2 linked regions of the Arabidopsis thaliana genome follow. The protein of the gene in region 2 interacts with the protein of the main gene of each other region in a pairwise test. Each region holds a gene or a part of one and is shown on either strand. Other genes may lie near its edges.

What was found.
Region 1: the proteins of HDA6 (region 2) and COI1 interact in binary tests that used the Arabidopsis thaliana proteins (3 or more experiments, as listed by UniProt).

The regions. Positions count from the first base shown.
Region 1 is NC_003071.7:16,671,470-16,681,664, reverse strand, and holds COI1 (RNI-like superfamily protein), read left to right. Parts: upstream 1-5,800; 5' UTR 5,801-6,178; coding exon 6,179-6,669; intron 6,670-7,354; coding exon 7,355-7,835; intron 7,836-8,010; coding exon 8,011-8,817; 3' UTR 8,818-9,172; downstream 9,173-10,195. Other genes in the region: AT2G39950 (flocculation protein), read left to right, coding at 1,461-1,811, 1,893-2,008, 3,387-3,630, 3,708-4,907; ISA1 (isoamylase 1), read right to left, coding at 9,482-9,745, 9,825-9,942, 10,125-10,195. UniProt on the Arabidopsis thaliana protein: Required for jasmonate-regulated plant fertility and defense processes, and for coronatine and/or other elicitors perceptions/responses. Seems to not be required for meiosis. Required for the regulation of some genes induced by wounding, but not for all.
Region 2 is NC_003076.8:25,312,342-25,322,536, reverse strand, and holds HDA6 (histone deacetylase 6), read left to right. Parts: upstream 1-4,189; 5' UTR 4,190-4,309; coding exon 4,310-4,849; intron 4,850-5,266; coding exon 5,267-5,707; intron 5,708-5,801; coding exon 5,802-5,944; intron 5,945-6,202; coding exon 6,203-6,293; intron 6,294-6,390; coding exon 6,391-6,521; intron 6,522-6,633; coding exon 6,634-6,703; 3' UTR 6,704-7,031; downstream 7,032-10,195. Other genes in the region: AT5G63120 (P-loop containing nucleoside triphosphate hydrolases superfamily protein), read left to right, coding at 466-521, 601-1,064, 1,151-1,330, 1,422-1,583, 1,668-1,822, 1,991-2,083, 2,188-2,273, 2,374-2,600 and 2 more; AT5G63100 (S-adenosyl-L-methionine-dependent methyltransferases superfamily protein), read left to right, coding at 7,114-8,103. UniProt on the Arabidopsis thaliana protein: Responsible for the deacetylation of lysine residues on the N-terminal part of the core histones (H2A, H2B, H3 and H4). Might remove acetyl residues only from specific targets, such as rDNA repeats or complex transgenes.

The DNA of each region.
Region 1 (10,195 bases), on a different chromosome or scaffold from region 2:
CATCTTCCAGAGAAATATATGCTTTTGAAACTCCATATGTTGGCGTTTTAGAATACTAAATCGATGGTGACTTTGTTTAGAGATGAAACTAATATTTGGATTTTTCCTTATAGCCAACTTTTTGAATTAATCCGAGATTTTATGATCACTATTTAGAAAAGAATAAAAAGCTTTACCTAAGTTAGTAAGCCAATGGCTCACATCAAGTATATGCTTGTCGTTTAGTTATTTGTACTAGATCATACATAAAAAAAAGGTCAAATGCTTCACGAATTGTGGATGATTTGATTCGTAATATTTTGTATGATTGATGATAAAACACCTACATATGATATGAGTGGCTTGGATGACTCTAGTCTCTTTTTAGACAGCCTTTTCTTTCTCGTATGGCTTGGGAAAGTTCATTTGGTGATTGTAGTTGGTTGGAGTCGCCTTTTTTTAGCACTTTTTGATTAGAAAATTTTCCATTTTCCGTTATAAAAAATTCCACAGCTTAACAAGAGATGGGTCTCTATGATTTTGCAAAAGTATTGAATAACTTTCTTGATGTAAGATGACAATCCAAATTTGGATATACAATTTTAAACATATAAAACTCCAAATAAAATAATGTAAAGAATTGTGTTTTAAAAGATACCATAATTTTTGTTTTTCCTGCTTTTCATAGTTCTAAATTCTAATCATAGCAGCGGTCAAAAAAAAAAAAAATTAATATAAAAATTTATAATAAAATAAATCTCTAAAAATATGGAAGCTATTAAACCAATTTTCGTTTGAAAAAACTTTCTCCTCGTATTAACATAACGTAGTGGAATTTTAAAATATTCCAAATCACATGCTATAATCCATACATTTTTTATCCATTCATTGGCCACAAAATACAACCTGTCCATCGCCGAAGATCAATTTCAACGAAAGAAAAATATAGGTTTGCAATAAAAAAAAACACAGGCCCATCCTTTGCTAGGGCCCATTAAAAGCTGACGTGGCACCAGCTCGAAGTCAGGTTTTGCAAGGAACCCACTCCTAAATTTGTAGGACCCACCATAGGATTCAATCAAAACGAGCCCCGGATCTCAAATGTTTTGAATAAAATAAATTAAATAAAATCGTTTCGAATCCGCCAGAACATCTAACCTATATAAACGTAAACGTTGTGCTGTTTTGGTTTTCTTATCTTTCCATCTTCCGCGAAGGGCATCCAAAAAAAGGCACTTGTTTCAATTAAAGATATTTTTATTCTCTCTCTCTCGAAACAACATCAATCAAAAAAAAAAAAAAAAATTTAATTAGAACAAACCCTACCTCTTCTCTCAATTTGGATTTGATTCTTTGAAATTTGAAAGCACTAATCAATCTTTAGGTTTTTTTATTTTGAAACTCGACGAACTTTTTTTATTTTGTCAATTTCTGGATCGAGTTTTTGGTTTCTCTGACAAGTTACCGATACGATATTTGATATGGCCGATTCTAGGAAGCGAGATACCGGAGACGATCATCAGCACCGTGATGATCAACCAAATGACGGTGATGATTTGTCTATTTCGTCGTCGACGACTGATGACTCTCAATTTAATGGAACCGAAGGAGAGAATGAATTGACGAGGATTGAGAGTAGAGTTTCAGATCCGTTGACTGATGCAACCGGAGGAGACTTTTTGGTTGGAGAGGATAGGGTTTTACGGTGGTTACAAGCTTTGGACATGCAAGTTATGGGAGCTTGTCGAGGTGATGAGAGATTGAAGCCGTTGTTGAAGCTTAACGTTTCTAATGGAATGGCTGAAGATCGATTGCTTGCGCATCTTAGCCAGGTTTGAATAGTTTCTGAATTCGATGATTTTGGTTTCCATTTTTGTTGAGATAATAATACTGATTTCTTGTTTATTGAATAGCACTTCGAGCCTGCGGAAATTGGTATGCTGGCTAGATGTTTTTGCATACCTCTGGTTTCGGTTCGCGTCGGGAAGATTATAAAGGAAGGGATTCTAATGCGCCCCACTCCCATAAGGTAATCAATGAGTCCTGTTTTTGTTATAATCGTGTTAATTGCTATTTTCTTTGTTCGCTCTTTGTTGTCTTAGAGATTTGTGAATTATAGCTCTCTAGTTAGGTTTTGTTGTCTTTGAAGACGGTTCTTATGTTAGAGATGTAGCATAGCATATACCAGAATGTTAATTAATGGTTTGTGTGTAATCTGTCATTGATTAGGCGATTTTATGAATGCTTGTTCAATTGCAGGCTGATTATCTGAATCAGTAGTGATTTTGAAATCATCTGCTGATACAAAGTAAGTTTTTTGGGTGCACACATACAATTCCTGCTTTAGTTTTATTGATACTCTCTCGCTGAGTTTCTCCATGTTTGGTCTCATTTTATCAAATACTATACCTATTTTCATATGAATGGTTGTATCTCTGTTTTACTGACCTTTTGCAGTTCTTTATGTGCTAACACTTTGGAGGTTGGGGTATTACATAGTCTTAGTTCATATGGTTAGTTATGTTTGTATCAATGTATATCTAGCTTTCAGTAATAAGGTCTATCCATAATTTGCGTTGGTTTAGTTAAAATTTTAGAAATCATAGGATCTCAATCAGTCGTATAGTGATACTGTTCATGCTTCCAAATAAAATGTATCTTTTATTGTAGGTAATGTGGGCGTAATCTGTTATGATCTCTGGTAGATGATGAAGTAAAGGTAGTTTCATCACCAATGTTGTGTAGTATGTTCTTGATTTCTAGTCATATAGGGCTTTAATTTTCTCTCTGTTTTGTCATAACATCACTGACTATATATCCTTCTTAATCACTTTATATTATCTCGCTATGGCTTTCATTGAATGGTATTTTTTTTGTAAATTTAAGCTTTTTGTTTTCTCATCGTTACTACTTATTTGATTTAAAAGGTCTTTTGTGTGTTCTGGTGGTACTATTCTGTTCAAACTTATTACAATGGATCTATATAAAGTTCGTTTCAGGAAGCTCTTAGATAATCATGTTATCATCTTTTTTTGTTCTAGCTTCTAAGTTGCAGGTCCCTATGCTAAGTTATGAATAATGTAGTTTCAGTTAAGCTAAGCCACAGTCTTAAAAAGTGTCAAGTACCAAATTATTGAACATAATGTTTATTCCGGCAGTACCCTATGTTTTGTGAATATTAGTAATAGGCTAATAACATAGCTGTTCTGTAAACAGTTCTGCATGTTTATCTGGTAGATTCTTTTGATGTAGTTTGAATTAAGGGTAACTTGCAAGCATTTAAAAGCTCTTGGACTTGATCCAACTTCTGGTTTTCAGCATCTAGTGTTTATTTGTTAGTGCTTTTGATTTTGATATTAGAGTGTTTTTCCGACTGATTTCTTGACGTTTTATCTCCTATTGGTCAGGGGTAACCTGAGCCTTATGGTCTTGCCAACATCTGACTTGAGACTCTCATTTATTGGAGACAATGGTCATTCAGAACAACTCTTTACCTATACCAGCAAATCTCAGTGCTCTGCGGTGTCAATTGAGGAGATAACTGTGGACAGCTCTGGTAGATCTTTTGTTATAAGGATCGCAAATGGCAATGCTTTTTACTATTGGTGCTCAGAGAAGTCAAAACTTCTGGGAACTGAATTGCGTAGGAAGGTTTGTGAAATAGTGTTGTTTTAAAATCCTTGTCTGTGCATCTAAATTTTCTCATCATCTGTTGTTATCCTGTGTAGATGAAAGACTTGATCAAGAAGAAGCCATCAATCTCAGAATTAACTGGAATTGAAGAATCACGTCTTGGCTCTGTTGCTTCTCATCTCCGTTTGTATCTCATGGGTTCAGTGGTGCCTAACATCAAAGGTTGTCAGGTCCCATCTCCTGATTCATCATCATCTTCTGGCTTTTCTGAAACAGCTGATTCCTCCTCGAGTGCATCATCAAAATCTCTTAGAGCACGCCACTGTGGGACTCAACAGACAAAGACCCAAGGAAGCCTCAGCCCTAGAGCAAGCTCCTTCAAAGAAAACACACTGAGAAATGCTTCTCTACGTATCTCCTCTAGAGATAAATCAAAGGGACACAGTGAAGGCCATTTCTCAATCTTTGATAATTCATCCATTACCTCTATCCCCACCAATGTAGAGGGTTTTATCCAGTCAGAAGGAGAAGTTGAAGAAGCTACTGAGAATTATAATGGAATCAGACAAATTATTGCTTTTGAAGAAGCAGAGTCAACACCAAGTACAATGACCGGACCTCCCCCATTTCCTTTGAAGATGGGTCCACCAGTCTTTTCTCCTTATTATTGCTGGTGCCCTCCAACCACTTCATCGCTTCACGCACCATCTGCCTCTTATCAGTTCCCTCCACTATCCATTGAGCTACCTTCCCTTCCGCCACTTTCCTCCTTATTACCAGCATCGGGATCAGATGGATTCTTGATCCCGTCATCACCGCTCGATCTCTCTGACATCCCTCCATTACCATTAGTCCACCACATACCCATTCCAGGCTCATCATCATCATCATCCCAGCAACAGATGATGATTCCTATAATGTGCGACCCTATTGTTCATATTCCAGTTATCGATATCTTCTCTTCAGGTCAAAGCTATCTGGTAAGCGCTGGACCCACCGGGATAATATCCACGGGCATCCCTCCGCTCCCAGTGGAGAATGATTCGCTGGTCGAGAAAGGTGCAAGAGAAACACTACGATTGCTCATAAGCGGAGCCAATGCAACAACATCTACACCTTTGAACCATCATGGAAGCAGAGGTCTATACAGTGTGAGCCGGGATGTGAGTGGTGTGAGCTTGTTTGCACCTATTGGGTTGCAACAACCGAGTTCAGTTGAGGGAGGAGATGGTGGTGGTGAGAGTGTGAGCTCAAGCGAAGCAGTGCCTGCGCCTCCCAGAGAGACTTCTGGTTAATTTTTTTGGTTCTTTGTAAGTGTGGTCCGAGTTAAGTGTATAGAAAACTCATCTCTCGCCTAGTTTTTGGTTTTGTTCAGCCCAAGTCTTTTGGTTTCAGGTGTAATTAGTCGGGTTTTTTGTAGCTTGCTTATATTACCTTTGTTATTTCCGAGTTTCAAATGAAGCTAAGAAATACGATCATAATAAAAAAGTTCTTTTGCAGTATTCATTTTCTTTCATGGTTCCCTCCTTATTCATAGTCATTGTTGTTCTTTCTAATACTTTTCCTGAGCTTTTTTTTTCTATTGGAAAAACTTTTGTCACTGAAAGAAATTTCAATGTGATTGGTTCTTTTCGCAACTGTAATAAGCACTAAAAGTTAATAATTTGCTGCTTTTTAAGTCTTGTTGCTGAATGATTTAATCCCAAAGACGTTAAAAAAAAGACATGTAAATAGTCTTTGTTCCAAAAGTACCATTTTGAGCGCTTTCTTTCGACAATTGATGTTGAACTTGTACCAAATAAACCTTGAAAATCATACATCATTAAATGTAGTTTTTTGTTATATACTTATATTCATATGGTCCATAATATATAGTTAACCATATTATGGACCATATAAATTCATGCAGTCAACAACTTTTTTTTTCCTCATTAAAAGCTACTAATACTGTAGAAAATTTTTATCTTACAAAAGAAAGGAGAATTATTGTATTTTTATTTTAATCACATATAAAGCAACCAAAGATAACATATACTAGTATTTAGTATTTTTAAATTTTTTGCTTAGGATTCAGGTTATTAATACTCTATAAAGAAATAATTAAATCTATCCATCGAATAAATCACACAGCTTATTGGATCAGTTAAATATTCTAATAATATTGTCGTGTAGCTGAGATCTGACCACTGCAAAAATGAAAAGAAAAACATAGAAGTAGAGAGAAGATCGCATCTCGACCGTCAACTTCAGTGTATGAAATAATGATCGTCCCACTTGATCCTCAAAAATATTATTAACCAAACAAAATTTGATTCCATCGTCCCACTTTCTTCTTCTTCCTCCCAATCCGCCTCTTCTTCCTACGCGTGTCTTCTTCTCCCTCACTCTCTCAATCTCTAGTCTTCTCCGATTCACCGGATCTTTCCTTTCTTACTTCTTTCTTCTCACTCTGGTGGTTATGTGTGGATCTGCGACCTCGATTTCAATTCGAAGTCGTCGGTTTCTTCTCTAAATCGAATCTTTCCAGGATTCGTTTGTTTTTTTCTTTTGTTTTTTTTTCGATCCGATGGAGGATCCTGATATCAAGAGGTGTAAATTGAGCTGCGTCGCGACGGTTGATGATGTCATCGAGCAAGTCATGACCTATATAACTGACCCGAAAGATCGCGATTCGGCTTCTTTGGTGTGTCGGAGATGGTTCAAGATTGATTCCGAGACGAGAGAGCATGTGACTATGGCGCTTTGCTACACTGCGACGCCTGATCGTCTTAGCCGTCGATTCCCGAACTTGAGGTCGCTCAAGCTTAAAGGCAAGCCTAGAGCAGCTATGTTTAATCTGATCCCTGAGAACTGGGGAGGTTATGTTACTCCTTGGGTTACTGAGATTTCTAACAACCTTAGGCAGCTCAAATCGGTGCACTTCCGACGGATGATTGTCAGTGACTTAGATCTAGATCGTTTAGCTAAAGCTAGAGCAGATGATCTTGAGACTTTGAAGCTAGACAAGTGTTCTGGTTTTACTACTGATGGACTTTTGAGCATCGTTACACACTGCAGGTACACTTACTTCTCAGTATCTTGTAGCTACTTTGGCTCGATGCTTTTGAGGTTTAGCGACTCCTTATCATTTCCTACTTTGACTAGAACTCTAGATGCATTTGGCTCTTTTTAAAAAACTTAATAAGTCGTCGTTGTACAAAGAACCATATCTTGAGTTTGTGTTTGTAAAGATTTGATCTTCTTTAGCTCAATTGGGTAAGTTGTAACTTTGGTGGATACTTTTTGTCCTTAATGAAATTGGTGAACCTTACTTCATTTGATTTCTTAGTACACTTTACACTAAGAGTAATATAAGCAGAAACATTTATTTCAGAAAGTTTCAGTATTTAGGCGTTCATGTTTGTCTTATATCCTTAATTGCTTTGCAACTGTTATGCTTGCTATTAAAGCAGAAATTGCAATGATCTTCAGTTATTTCTCAATTGGGGAAGTATAAACTTTGATCCGGATTTTATCTACAACCAATTTTTTCCCTCTTTGGGGAACATTCACTTTGTTTATGCATAAATAGCAAAAAGATTGATTTCTGACATCTTCAGTCTGCCAGAGTTTATGTGTATTATTTGGTTTTTGAATCCTTGATTCGGCTGCTGCTGTTCTTCATATTCAGTTTTAGCGGGAAATCCAAATATCTTGAGTTGTTTCTCACTTTATTCATGCAACTGTCTGTTGTCTTGTCCAGGAAAATAAAAACTTTGTTAATGGAAGAGAGTTCTTTTAGTGAAAAGGATGGTAAGTGGCTTCATGAGCTTGCTCAGCACAACACATCTCTTGAGGTTTTAAACTTCTACATGACGGAGTTTGCCAAAATCAGTCCCAAAGACTTGGAAACCATAGCTAGAAATTGCCGCTCTCTGGTATCTGTGAAGGTCGGTGACTTTGAGATTTTGGAACTAGTTGGGTTCTTTAAGGCTGCAGCTAATCTTGAAGAATTTTGTGGTGGCTCCTTGAATGAGGATATTGGAATGCCTGAGAAGTACATGAATCTGGTTTTTCCCCGAAAACTATGTCGGCTTGGTCTCTCTTACATGGGACCTAATGAAATGCCAATACTATTTCCATTCGCGGCCCAAATCCGAAAGCTGGATTTGCTTTATGCATTGCTAGAAACTGAAGACCATTGTACGCTTATCCAAAAGTGTCCTAATTTGGAAGTTCTCGAGGTAAACGTTTAACTTTGCTGTCTTTACTACATACTTGGGAATGCGTCCTTAGTACTAAATTGTGTTCCTATTTTTTCACGAAATATTTGGGGAGATAAGGGATATGAATGCAATATTGGTTCTCTTTAGTCTTTACATCTATATAAGACTGACAACACTTGTTGTTTTTCTTCAGACAAGGAATGTAATCGGAGATAGGGGTCTAGAGGTCCTTGCACAGTACTGTAAGCAGTTGAAGCGGCTGAGGATTGAACGCGGTGCAGATGAACAAGGAATGGAGGACGAAGAAGGCTTAGTCTCACAAAGAGGATTAATCGCTTTGGCTCAGGGCTGCCAGGAGCTAGAATACATGGCGGTGTATGTCTCAGATATAACTAACGAATCTCTTGAAAGCATAGGCACATATCTGAAAAACCTCTGTGACTTCCGCCTTGTCTTACTCGACCGGGAAGAAAGGATTACAGATCTGCCACTGGACAACGGAGTCCGATCTCTTTTGATTGGATGCAAGAAACTCAGACGATTTGCATTCTATCTGAGACAAGGCGGCTTAACCGACTTGGGCTTAAGCTACATCGGACAGTACAGTCCAAACGTGAGATGGATGCTGCTGGGTTACGTAGGTGAATCAGATGAAGGTTTAATGGAATTCTCAAGAGGCTGTCCAAATCTACAGAAGCTAGAGATGAGAGGTTGTTGCTTCAGTGAGCGAGCAATCGCTGCAGCGGTTACAAAATTGCCTTCACTGAGATACTTGTGGGTACAAGGTTACAGAGCATCGATGACGGGACAAGATCTAATGCAGATGGCTAGACCGTACTGGAACATCGAGCTGATTCCATCAAGAAGAGTCCCGGAAGTGAATCAACAAGGAGAGATAAGAGAGATGGAGCATCCGGCTCATATATTGGCTTACTACTCTCTGGCTGGCCAGAGAACAGATTGTCCAACAACTGTTAGAGTCCTGAAGGAGCCAATATGATATGACCCAAAAAACAGGTTTGTATATAAAGATTTTTAGTCTCGAGTTTTGGGGTTTCCACAAACTGTGTACTATACTACTTTGGTTCTTTTTTTGTTTCATGTTGTGTCGTCGATGTTTTTGGGAGATTACATAGAGTCAGTCTTGTTTGTTGTATGGTCATTACTTCTTTATTTTTCCTCAGGGGTCTGTTTACTTTAATTTCTTTAATAAAACCCCGAAGATTTTGAGAGATTTCTTTATCGTCCATGGTGTTGACTTCTGAGAGCTATATTTGTTTGGATTGGCATCTGAAACTTTATTTGTGGTTGTGATTGTTTTGATAACATTAGTAAAAAGGCAAATAATAGAGTACTAATAATCATTTATAACTTTATAGATGAAAACTTTGATTTCTTGTTCTTACACGAATTCTGAAAACGATGTAACAAGCTTTTGATTGGATTAACAGACGATAAAGGAATCTATTAACAATGAGTGGGCATATCTGAAGCCGACCAAAGGTACCCCATTCAGATTCTTCTAACCATAAAAGGAACCTTTACTATAATACATTATATAGGTAACGAAATAGTTGTCTGTATATGCATCTCATTCACATTTGAGAAGATTCCTTCATATGTTGTGATTTTGTCTAATACGCTTTTGGAGGAATCACGCAAACTCAGGGGTCTTTAATTGGTGAAAGAAGGAGAATGATGGATGAGTAACTGAGCATTGGGTACACATTTGCATCTAAGAAGTGCCTATACTGCTTCATCGCCGTTTCTCTCTCTGGGAGATCCGGTGTTATGCAGTCGTAAGGGCTCGGTTTGCTCGTGTCTACAAATGGCTCCCATCGGTATCCTGGCCTATTCGGTAGCGAAACAAGTGTGGCTAAATGACTGGTGTTGAAGGCCACATAGATTTCTTTCTTCACAGAATCGACCTACCGAAAAACAAAAGGGATTAATATCACCCACTAAGGAAACTGTCCATGTAAGAGAAGGGGTATGAGAAAATGGTACCAGTGAAAATGCAACAAATCGACTTGTTTCAGACCAATTTGGGATCTCAGGAGCAAGACCATGCCACTGCAGACGCTTTGCTGTTGGGAAATCATTCAAGCCAAGTGATTCACATTCACTACAATACAGTCATAATGGCCATCGATCAGAGGAAACCCGAGAAACAGGGGATTGCAAAAGAAAGAAAACACATAGCAGTAGGTGAAAAGGAAGAAGCATGTCAATTATTGGATTTGAGACTAAGTGAAGCGATCAACTAAGCAATTAAGATCGATAGACTCATGAAAGAAGATTACATACTCACGAAACTTGATAAGAATACGGCAGAATCTGAAGAAGTCAGAATGTGCTTCTTCCTTTTTATCCCACCG
Region 2 (10,195 bases):
GTGTAGTCACATGACTCATGAGATGGTATGTCTGAAAAATCCCATCGCAACTTTAAGATTTTCCAAATTTGATTCGACACTGTTGGCAAAATGTTTAAAGCAATAGACTCCCCCATCACAAAACCTCCAATAATTTAAGTTAAACAATTGTTTGGGTCCAATTTGTAGCCCATTAAGTGGTTAGTCATGGCCCATATCTGATTACCAACAAAATAAAGGAAATTAATTAAATTCGCGCAATAAAAAGAACAGAAAAATGGTGGGACAAATTAGGGTTACTAATTTGGGAATTTTACTGTCCAAAACGAATCAAAAAAAAAATCTAAGCTTTTTGTTCCTTTTGCGGCTTTTCGTCGTCTTCCTTGCACTATCTTCCTTCTGTAGCATCAATTCGTTTCCAAGGTTACGTAGTAGAATTTACGCGAGAGAGCGAGAGATCAAAAACCATAACCATCTTAAGTTACAATGAGCTCGTATGATCGTAGATTTGCTGATCCAAATTCGTATCGCCAACGCTCTGGGTAAGTGAAACCAATCGACCAATTTCTTCGTTTTTGTTTCCTTCGATCTGTAACACTTATCTTCTCTGTGTTACTTTAGCGCCCCAGTTGGTTCGTCTCAGCCGATGGATCCTTCCGCCGCACCATACAACCCACGGTACACTGGTGGTGGTGGAGGATATGGACCATCTCCGGTAATGGCCGGTGATAATTCCGGCTATAATCGGTACCCATCTTTCCAGCCACCTAGTGGCGGTTTCTCTGTTGGCCGCGGTGGTGGAAGAGGTGGATATGGTCAATACGGCGATAGAAACGGCGGAGGGAATTGGGGAGGAGGAGGAGGACGTGGCGGATCGAGTAAAAGAGAGCTAGATAGTGTTTCTCTTCCGAAGCAGAATTTTGGGAATCTTGTACATTTTGAGAAGAATTTCTATGTGGAGAGTCCCACTGTGCAAGCTATGACAGAGCAGGATGTTGCAATGTACAGAACCGAGAGGGATATATCCGTTGAAGGTCGTGATGTTCCTAAGCCGATGAAGATGTTCCAAGATGCTAACTTTCCAGGTATTTTGATTGGATTGGTCATAGAGTTTCCAGTTCATTTATATCTAATTTGGGTTCTTAGTTTAATGGTTCCTTTTATCTGTTAGATAACATTCTTGAAGCAATTGCTAAATTGGGATTTACTGAGCCAACACCTATACAAGCTCAGGGATGGCCGATGGCGTTGAAGGGTAGGGATTTGATTGGTATTGCTGAGACTGGCTCTGGTAAGACATTGGCTTACTTGTTACCAGCATTGGTTCACGTTAGTGCACAACCTCGATTAGGTGAGTATTACAGCACTATGTGATATTCTGATTTAAGCTGCATTCATTTTTCCGGCAACTTTTTTATTTGCATTGTTGGGGTGTAATATAGGTCAGGATGATGGCCCCATTGTGTTAATATTAGCTCCCACAAGAGAACTAGCTGTTCAGATTCAAGAGGAATCAAGGAAATTCGGGTTGAGGTCTGGTGTTAGAAGTACTTGTATCTATGGTGGTGCTCCTAAAGGACCTCAGATTCGTGATCTTAGAAGAGGTATTTTATTTTTTAATAGTGTAGTTTTCATGTCTGGTTCTTGGATGGAACATCAAAGTTTATGAATCATGATTGGCTTGTCAGGTGTTGAGATTGTAATTGCTACACCTGGTCGTTTGATTGATATGTTGGAATGTCAACACACTAATTTGAAGAGAGTGACTTACCTTGTACTGGATGAGGCTGACAGAATGTTAGACATGGGATTTGAACCCCAAATTAGAAAGATTGTATCTCAGGTATGTTTGTACTTTCTCCAAAGCTATCATGTAGTGTCTTTAAGGAAAGGGTGGTTGACCAACATTATTAGTCGATAGATTTTATCTTCCCAGTTTATTGTTCTGTTGCTAAATAAGAACCATCACGGCTTTTGTTCAGAACTTGAGATTGTTCCTTATTTTTCACAGATCCGACCTGATAGACAAACACTTCTTTGGAGTGCAACATGGCCACGAGAGGTTGAAACTCTTGCCAGGCAGTTTCTACGAGATCCATATAAGGTTTACTTGCTATTTAGTTTAACTTATTAGGATTGAGTATACTGTTGTTGAATAAAGTAGGGGATGTTTTATGTTGTGCACTGAAAACAGTTGTTATTTTGTAGGCCATTATTGGATCAACAGATCTAAAAGCTAACCAGTCTATTAACCAAGTAATCGAGATTGTACCGACGCCAGAGAAATACAACAGGTTCTTAATTTTTCTGTCATTAGATAAGAAACGATTTATATATATATTTATTTGCCTTCTTATATGATATGATACTTATGCCTTTTTTCTCGTTTGATAGGCTCCTTACACTACTTAAACAGTTAATGGATGGGAGTAAAATCCTAATTTTTGTGGAGACAAAGAGAGGGTGTGATCAAGTGACTAGACAATTGAGAATGGACGGATGGCCAGCTCTTGCCATACATGGTGACAAGACCCAATCGGAAAGAGACCGAGTCTTGGCAGAATTTAAGAGTGGACGAAGCCCGATAATGACTGCCACTGATGTAGCAGCAAGGGGACTTGGTAGGATTAACTGTGATACACAATAGGAGAGATTATACTTAGAGCATTTCGTTTTCTTGGGGTTTTAAAGATAATAAAAAAAGTCGCCTGGCTGCCGCTTTCCACAGTTTCCTCTGGTATTAGGGAAAAAAGCACATAGAAAGAAAAAAGGAGCTTCTTTGAAGAATTTGTTTCCTGCATCCATCTCCCGGGCATGGAGCTGATTGGTTTTTGAGCAGCCTGGGCGACTGACACCTGCATGCATTAATAGTGTTATAACGCCGTCCCAAACACTCCTTATCCCTGCAAGTTAAGGTGGGCACATTTACTTGGGAAAAATGTGTTGCTCTTAGTTTCTTGATCTTTCCAGATCTGCAGTTGTAGGGATAAGGGGTTCTTGTTCTCTATCCTCTCCTTAGCTAGGCTTTAAACACCAAACTCATTTACACAAAGAAATTTCTGTTCTTCTTCCTGCATTTCATCTCAGTCTATGATTTACTTCTCAACTGTGTTCCTTCTTTCTTCTTTTGTTTTGTTTTACAGATGTGAAGGACATTAAATGTGTGGTTAATTATGATTTCCCAAATACATTGGAGGATTACATCCATAGGATTGGTCGAACCGGGCGTGCAGGAGCTAAAGGAATGGCCTTTACATTCTTCACACATGACAATGCTAAGTTTGCGAGAGAGCTTGTCAAGATCCTTCAAGAAGCTGGTCAAGTTGTACCTCCTACTCTCTCCGCACTAGTCCGATCATCTGGTTCTGGTTATGGAGGTGAAACCTCATTTCTCTTCTCTCATTTGATGAGTTCAATCAATCTTGCTAAATTTTGGTACGAGGATCTGATTCAATTTTGTTGATTTGTTCAGGTTCAGGTGGTGGAAGAAACTTCAGGCCAAGAGGAGGAGGACGTGGTGGTGGGTTTGGAGATAAACGGTCAAGATCGACTTCAAACTTTGTACCTCACGGTGGAAAGAGGACTTGGTAAAGAGAATCCCATCATTTTGATTCTATGAGAAAACCTTTAATTATGATGATGATGATCAGCGTTTGGTTTCGACTAGAAGTTCTTTGTCGTAGAGAACAAACATTTACTATATAACTATTTAGCTGATTTCGCTGCTTCTTCTTCTTCTTCTTCATGATATTTCTAAACATTTTGCCTTTTTCTTAATTCTATCAACTAAATACACTTTACTACTTTACTCTCAAGTCAACCGTAACACTGTAATGAAACTTGTTTTTAAAAATCGGATGTGGATTATTAGGTTGGGAGATTCAAGTATTGCGAATAGAATTTAGACAAATGTAAGCATCTATAACATCTAGAACATGTATATCTTCTCTTTTTTCCCAACAACATCTAGTTACGAATCCTTAAGGTGAAATGTGTAAATAGATCATACTTAGCTAAAAAACCCTTTACATTTATTTGTCTAACATTGTCTACCATTAGGAAAACAAGTTAAAAATAATTCGCTATGTTTGAATCGAATTTGGAATTATATAATCGATCGTTAGTTTAACATTCAGTAATTATTAAAATTAAATTTTTAACGCAAAGATAATAATGTAAGTAATCATTAATGTGCGTGTATATATAAGCTGTGCCCACAACTCCTAGTAATGACTTTCTCAGGCATTGTTGACACAAATTTTGCTCTGAGTAAAACTTGGGAATAGAGAGAGACTCTGAGTGAGAGAGAGATTCTGAGTGAGAGACGGAGATGGAGGCAGACGAAAGCGGCATCTCTCTGCCGTCGGGACCCGACGGACGTAAGCGGCGAGTCAGTTACTTCTACGAGCCGACGATCGGAGACTACTACTACGGTCAAGGCCACCCGATGAAGCCTCACCGGATCCGTATGGCTCATAGCCTAATCATTCACTATCACCTCCACCGTCGCTTAGAAATCAGTCGCCCTAGCCTCGCTGACGCCTCCGATATCGGCCGATTCCATTCGCCGGAGTATGTTGACTTCCTCGCTTCCGTTTCGCCGGAATCTATGGGCGATCCTTCCGCTGCACGAAACCTAAGGCGATTCAATGTCGGTGAGGATTGTCCTGTCTTCGACGGACTTTTTGATTTTTGCCGTGCTTCCGCCGGAGGTTCTATTGGTGCTGCCGTCAAATTAAACAGACAGGACGCTGATATCGCTATCAATTGGGGCGGTGGGCTTCACCATGCTAAGAAAAGCGAGGCTTCTGGGTTTTGCTATGTAAACGACATCGTGCTAGGGATTCTGGAGTTGCTCAAGATGTTTAAGGTAAATGCTCCATTCCTTCTTTATGATCTCATCATAGAGAACTTCTTCATGTTCTTCTGAAATTTTTAGGGTTTAAGCTTATCTTGAGTGGTTTTTCTTAAATCTACCTGAAACCTTGAAGCCTTGTGTGATTATCGAATGAGCTTTGATCCTTTCATGTTCCTAAACTGCATATTACCTTTAGAATCTCATGTTAGGTCAAGTGCATCAGGTGTTTCTGATAAGGATGTTGATTTGTTTGAGAATGGTTTTCTACATTGCCTCTTTGTTTTCATCGTCTGGTTCTTTAAGTTTCTCTAATTAGGATTCCGTTGCTTTGTTAATGTATTCTGATAGCATCATTCAAAATGTTGATTGAGTGTGGAACGATGTTTCCATTGCTTACATCTTAATGCTTTCATCAAATTTTGTTTGCAGCGGGTTCTCTACATAGATATTGATGTCCACCATGGAGATGGAGTGGAAGAAGCGTTTTACACCACTGATAGAGTTATGACTGTTTCTTTCCACAAATTTGGGGACTTTTTCCCAGGAACTGGTCACATAAGAGATGTTGGCGCTGAAAAAGGGAAATACTATGCTCTAAATGTTCCACTAAACGATGGTATGGACGATGAAAGTTTCCGCAGCTTGTTTAGACCTCTTATCCAGAAGGTTATGGAAGTGTATCAGCCAGAGGCAGTTGTTCTTCAGTGTGGTGCTGACTCCTTAAGTGGTGATCGGTTGGGTTGCTTCAACTTATCAGTCAAGGGTCACGCTGATTGCCTTCGGTTCTTAAGATCTTACAACGTTCCTCTCATGGTGTTGGGTGGTGGAGGGTATACTATTCGAAATGTTGCCCGTTGCTGGTGTTATGAGGTCTTTTCCATCTCCTTTGCAGTTCTTCTATGTTTTTTGATAATCATATAGGTTTTTGTTCTTGAAAGTGTTTGTTTCTGTTGCCTCATCGCAGACTGCAGTTGCTGTTGGAGTAGAGCCGGACAACAAACTCCCTTACAATGAGTATTTTGAGTATTTCGGCCCAGATTATACGCTTCATGTCGACCCAAGTCCTATGGAGAATTTAAACACGCCCAAAGATATGGAGAGGATAAGGTAATATCTCCTACTTTCCATTTTTATGGTCATTGTACTTCAGTTGCCACTGAACTTCTAGCTAGTCCACTCTAATTTAGTAATTTTAACATGCTAATGATGCTCCCTCGAGATTGTAATTCTGTATGTAACATATGAGTTTATCTTTGTGCCGGTTCCAAATAGTTAACGAAAGCTTTACATGTTCAGTAGCTTACCTTCTTAGCCTTGTCAATGGGATATATTGAACTTAGAGAAAGTTACTTTTTGAAATTTCAGGAACACGTTGCTGGAACAACTTTCGGGACTAATACACGCACCTAGCGTCCAGTTTCAGCACACACCACCAGTCAATCGAGTTTTGGACGAGGTAATTTTTCAGTCATCCATTTCTCTCTTTGATGTTTTTAGTTGCGTTCTGTCCTATTGACTACCAACTTATTAAATCTGCTATCTCAAATCCTTAGCCGGAAGATGACATGGAGACAAGACCAAAACCTCGCATCTGGAGTGGAACTGCGACTTATGAATCAGACAGTGACGATGATGATAAACCTCTTCATGGTTACTCATGTCGTGGTGGCGCAACTACGGACAGGTAATTAAAAACCTTCCTCCTACTCAAATCTACCAACACTTGAATTGATCCTCATTGTCTAACTTCTTAACAGGAGATAAATAATTTAATTGATGTCTCTTAAAATCTACAGGGACTCTACCGGTGAAGATGAAATGGATGACGATAACCCAGAGCCAGACGTGAATCCTCCATCGTCTTAAACCAGCTTGATGGTTTGGTGTCTCTTTTGCCATATGATAATGTCGGCAGATTTAAGAAACAAGTTAGGGGAATGAATGATTCTTTGATGTTTTTTCAGCAACCTTTTGAGTTCTGTGAAAACGCTGCATTGATTAGAACAGTGACAACTGACTAGTATTTTGGCCCAAGTTAGAAAATCAGAATATGTGAAAAATGCAAAGAAACTTTTTAAAAAAAATATGGGCTTTTACTTCTTCTTTTTTTTTTACTTTCTCCGAAGTTGTTGTTACCAAACCGAAGAAAACCGATTGCAATAGACCCTAAAATTAAACCATTGAAGCTGTTACTAAACCGAACGGATTTAAACAAACCACTGAAGTCTCATCATCACCCAAATTCATCGAAATTTTCCCGGTAACTAAGAACAGGCATGGCCAGGGAGCTTGTGTCTCTTCAATACCTCCGACCTCCACTTCACATTTCTCGTCAATTTCTAAACCTCTCTTCTCCTCCTTTAACTCTCAATCTCCGGCCAAAACCTCCGCAAAATCCAATCTTTATCCGAACCGACTCTCACCGCAACAAAACTTCCGCCGACGATAACGGAATCCCAGCAGAGGACGTCAAAACCATCGCCAAATTCAAATCCCGTCACAATTACATCAGAGTCATCGAAGTTTCACGAAAAACCAATCACCCACTCGCTGGTTCTCGTCTCCTCCTTCTCGATAATCCCGGTAACATCCATAGCATCTCTTTCCTTCTTAAAACCTTAACCGATAGTTACTTCGACGTTTTCGCTACTCTGCCTCCGATTATACCTCCCGGACCAATTGGTATTCTCGGATTCGGAGCTGGTTCAACAGCTAGATTGATTCTTGAGCTTTATCCTCCTGAGATCGCTGTCCATGGATGGGAACTTGACCCTTCCGTGATTGACGTTGGTAGAGAGTTCTTTGGTCTCTCTAAGCTCGAAAGAGATCATAAAGATAGGATTTTTATCAACATTGGTGATGCTTTGAACGCTAGTGTTAAAACCGGGTTTTCGGGTATTTTAGTGGATTTGTTTAGTAAAGGGAGTGTGATCAAAGAGCTTCAAGATCCTCAAGTGTGGGAGGATTTGAAATCTAGGTTGAGATATAGAGGGAGGATTATGGTGAATGTTGGAGGTAAATGTGTGGAAGCTGAGGATTCAGATAGAGATGGAGCTTTGGTTATGGAGGAAACGTTGAGAGTGATGAGTCAGGTTTTTGGAGATAAGCTATTTGTTCTAACGCTTGGGAATGGGAATGATAGCTCGGTAGCTTTAACGGGTGATTTACCGGATCTTGATGCGTGGAAGAAGAGATTACCGCGTAGTGAATTGAGAAGCTATGTTGATATGTGGATACCTTATAGAGAATTCTGCTTGAGATATTAGTCTTTAGATGATATTGGTTGATAATCAGTTTTTGTGATGGATGCTGCAATGTGTTTGGAATTCAAGCTATGATGAAACCTGATTAGCTAATACACAAAACTTGTTCTGTCTCAGAGAGTGTTTGTTACAAGTGTACAAATTATTGCTTGGTCATCGTGTCTTTATTGGTGATGAATATTAAGGTTGTCTAGTTCTTTCAGAGGGATTGAGAATTTGAGATTACTCATTACTGTTATGTATGATTTGTTCTGGTATTATTAAACCTAAATTCGACAATGATCTTTGTCTCGCTCTGTTTAATCCAAATCGAAAATTGTGTCTCTCATCTTCTTTGGTGTTCTGGCAGTTCATACTCTGAAGGAGAAGATATAGACAGTGGTTAGGTTATAAGCCATTGAACCTTTATCACAAGGCAAAAGCATTACAGTCCACATTCTTTCTTTGACATCATCATTTTGCTCTCTTGATTGTTTCCAACGCATTAGGTAAAAAAAATAAGAATTGTTTGTGTTTACACTTAACAGATGATTTTTATTTATGAAGATGATTAATGATTCATTTGCATTTTTTTTAGTTCATTTATCATCTCAAACTATAGACAGCTAAGCGCAAGTTCTTGATCTGTACCTGGTAATCAATATATTACATCTGTAAGATATAGACTATATAGTCCCTAGCCCTAAATTACCATTAAACATGCTAATAAAAGTTGAATAATTGTAGAGATATTAAATCAAACGCATGCTTATTTCTTAACGTAGGCTTTTCGCCCATAGGATACAAATTACAGTAGTTGGGTATATAGTATCACTAGAGCATATAAACACCACAGGTTTATTTTCTAATTGTCTTTTTCACTTTTTAAAATTGTAGAGTAGTTAGAGAATATAGACTAAAGTGTGAAGTCATGAAAGATTGAAAGTTATAAAAAAAATCTCTATATCATTCCAATGCCTATCACTCTTATAATACTTGATAGGGCAACTATTCGGAATCTCATCATTTAACTTAGAAGTTAGAACCCATAGCTATTTCGTCTTTAAATTTCTTTTTTTTTTTAAACTGTTATCGTAAATTGAAATTACAAAAGTTAAAAAAAAAAAAAAAAAACCATGTTGAACATTAGAGAGCGCGAAACCAGTGCCACCATGTTGGAGTGTCGATAAACTGTGAAATAAATTGGATATGCCATTGATATATTTTAGCATAAATACAACATTTTCATGATCGTATTCATATAATAGTAAACGAAATTTATAATTACTGTAAGGGTTGTTGACTTTATTTGACTCAACACGTGGTTACGCAGCAATAAGCAATCCCGAGGGAGAATAAAATCTCTATCCATTTCTATTAAATTTGTTTATTTTTATTGTATGAGGAATACACTAAACTTCCGTATTAGGAGTTTTCAGTTTAAATTCTACCTCTCCTAATTTTTCCTTTGCTATATGTGTTTCATATTCATGATTGTTGTCTATTTTGTTATTCGATTCTACATATATAAAAACAAACAAGAAAACAAAAGGACATATTCACAAAACTATTCCTCCAAGTTGCATCATTGACCTCCCATATATACCTCTAACTTTACCCTTCCATAATCAGCACATGCACATTCATTAATTCAACATTATCTCTTATGTGTGTGTTGTTTCAAATGAGACCATATATATAAAATGTGGTTTCTATAGATTCTTAGAGTCACACTGACTTAATTAAATTACAAGAAGAAAAATAAAATTCGAGGGACAAACTAGGTACTAGTCTAGTTTTAGTAGATCATATGTGTGAGGAGGACCCATATTCCCTCTCTCTCTCTTTCTCTCTGCAAACCCTTTATAACACTTCATACCCCCACCTCTCTATTTGTATCATTTTATATGCAACCTCTCTATATATATTGAAGGGCTATATATATAGATCAATACCCATTCTAATCGATTACTTTAATCTTTTGATGGTAAACTTTGTTATGGTTTCTTCTGTAATATGTAGGCTTAGTGTTGAATTTACAACGTCGGACGGAACGAATAAACCATATCATAGCTCTCCAAACAACTTTCAACTTATTCGATATAGTTACTTATTA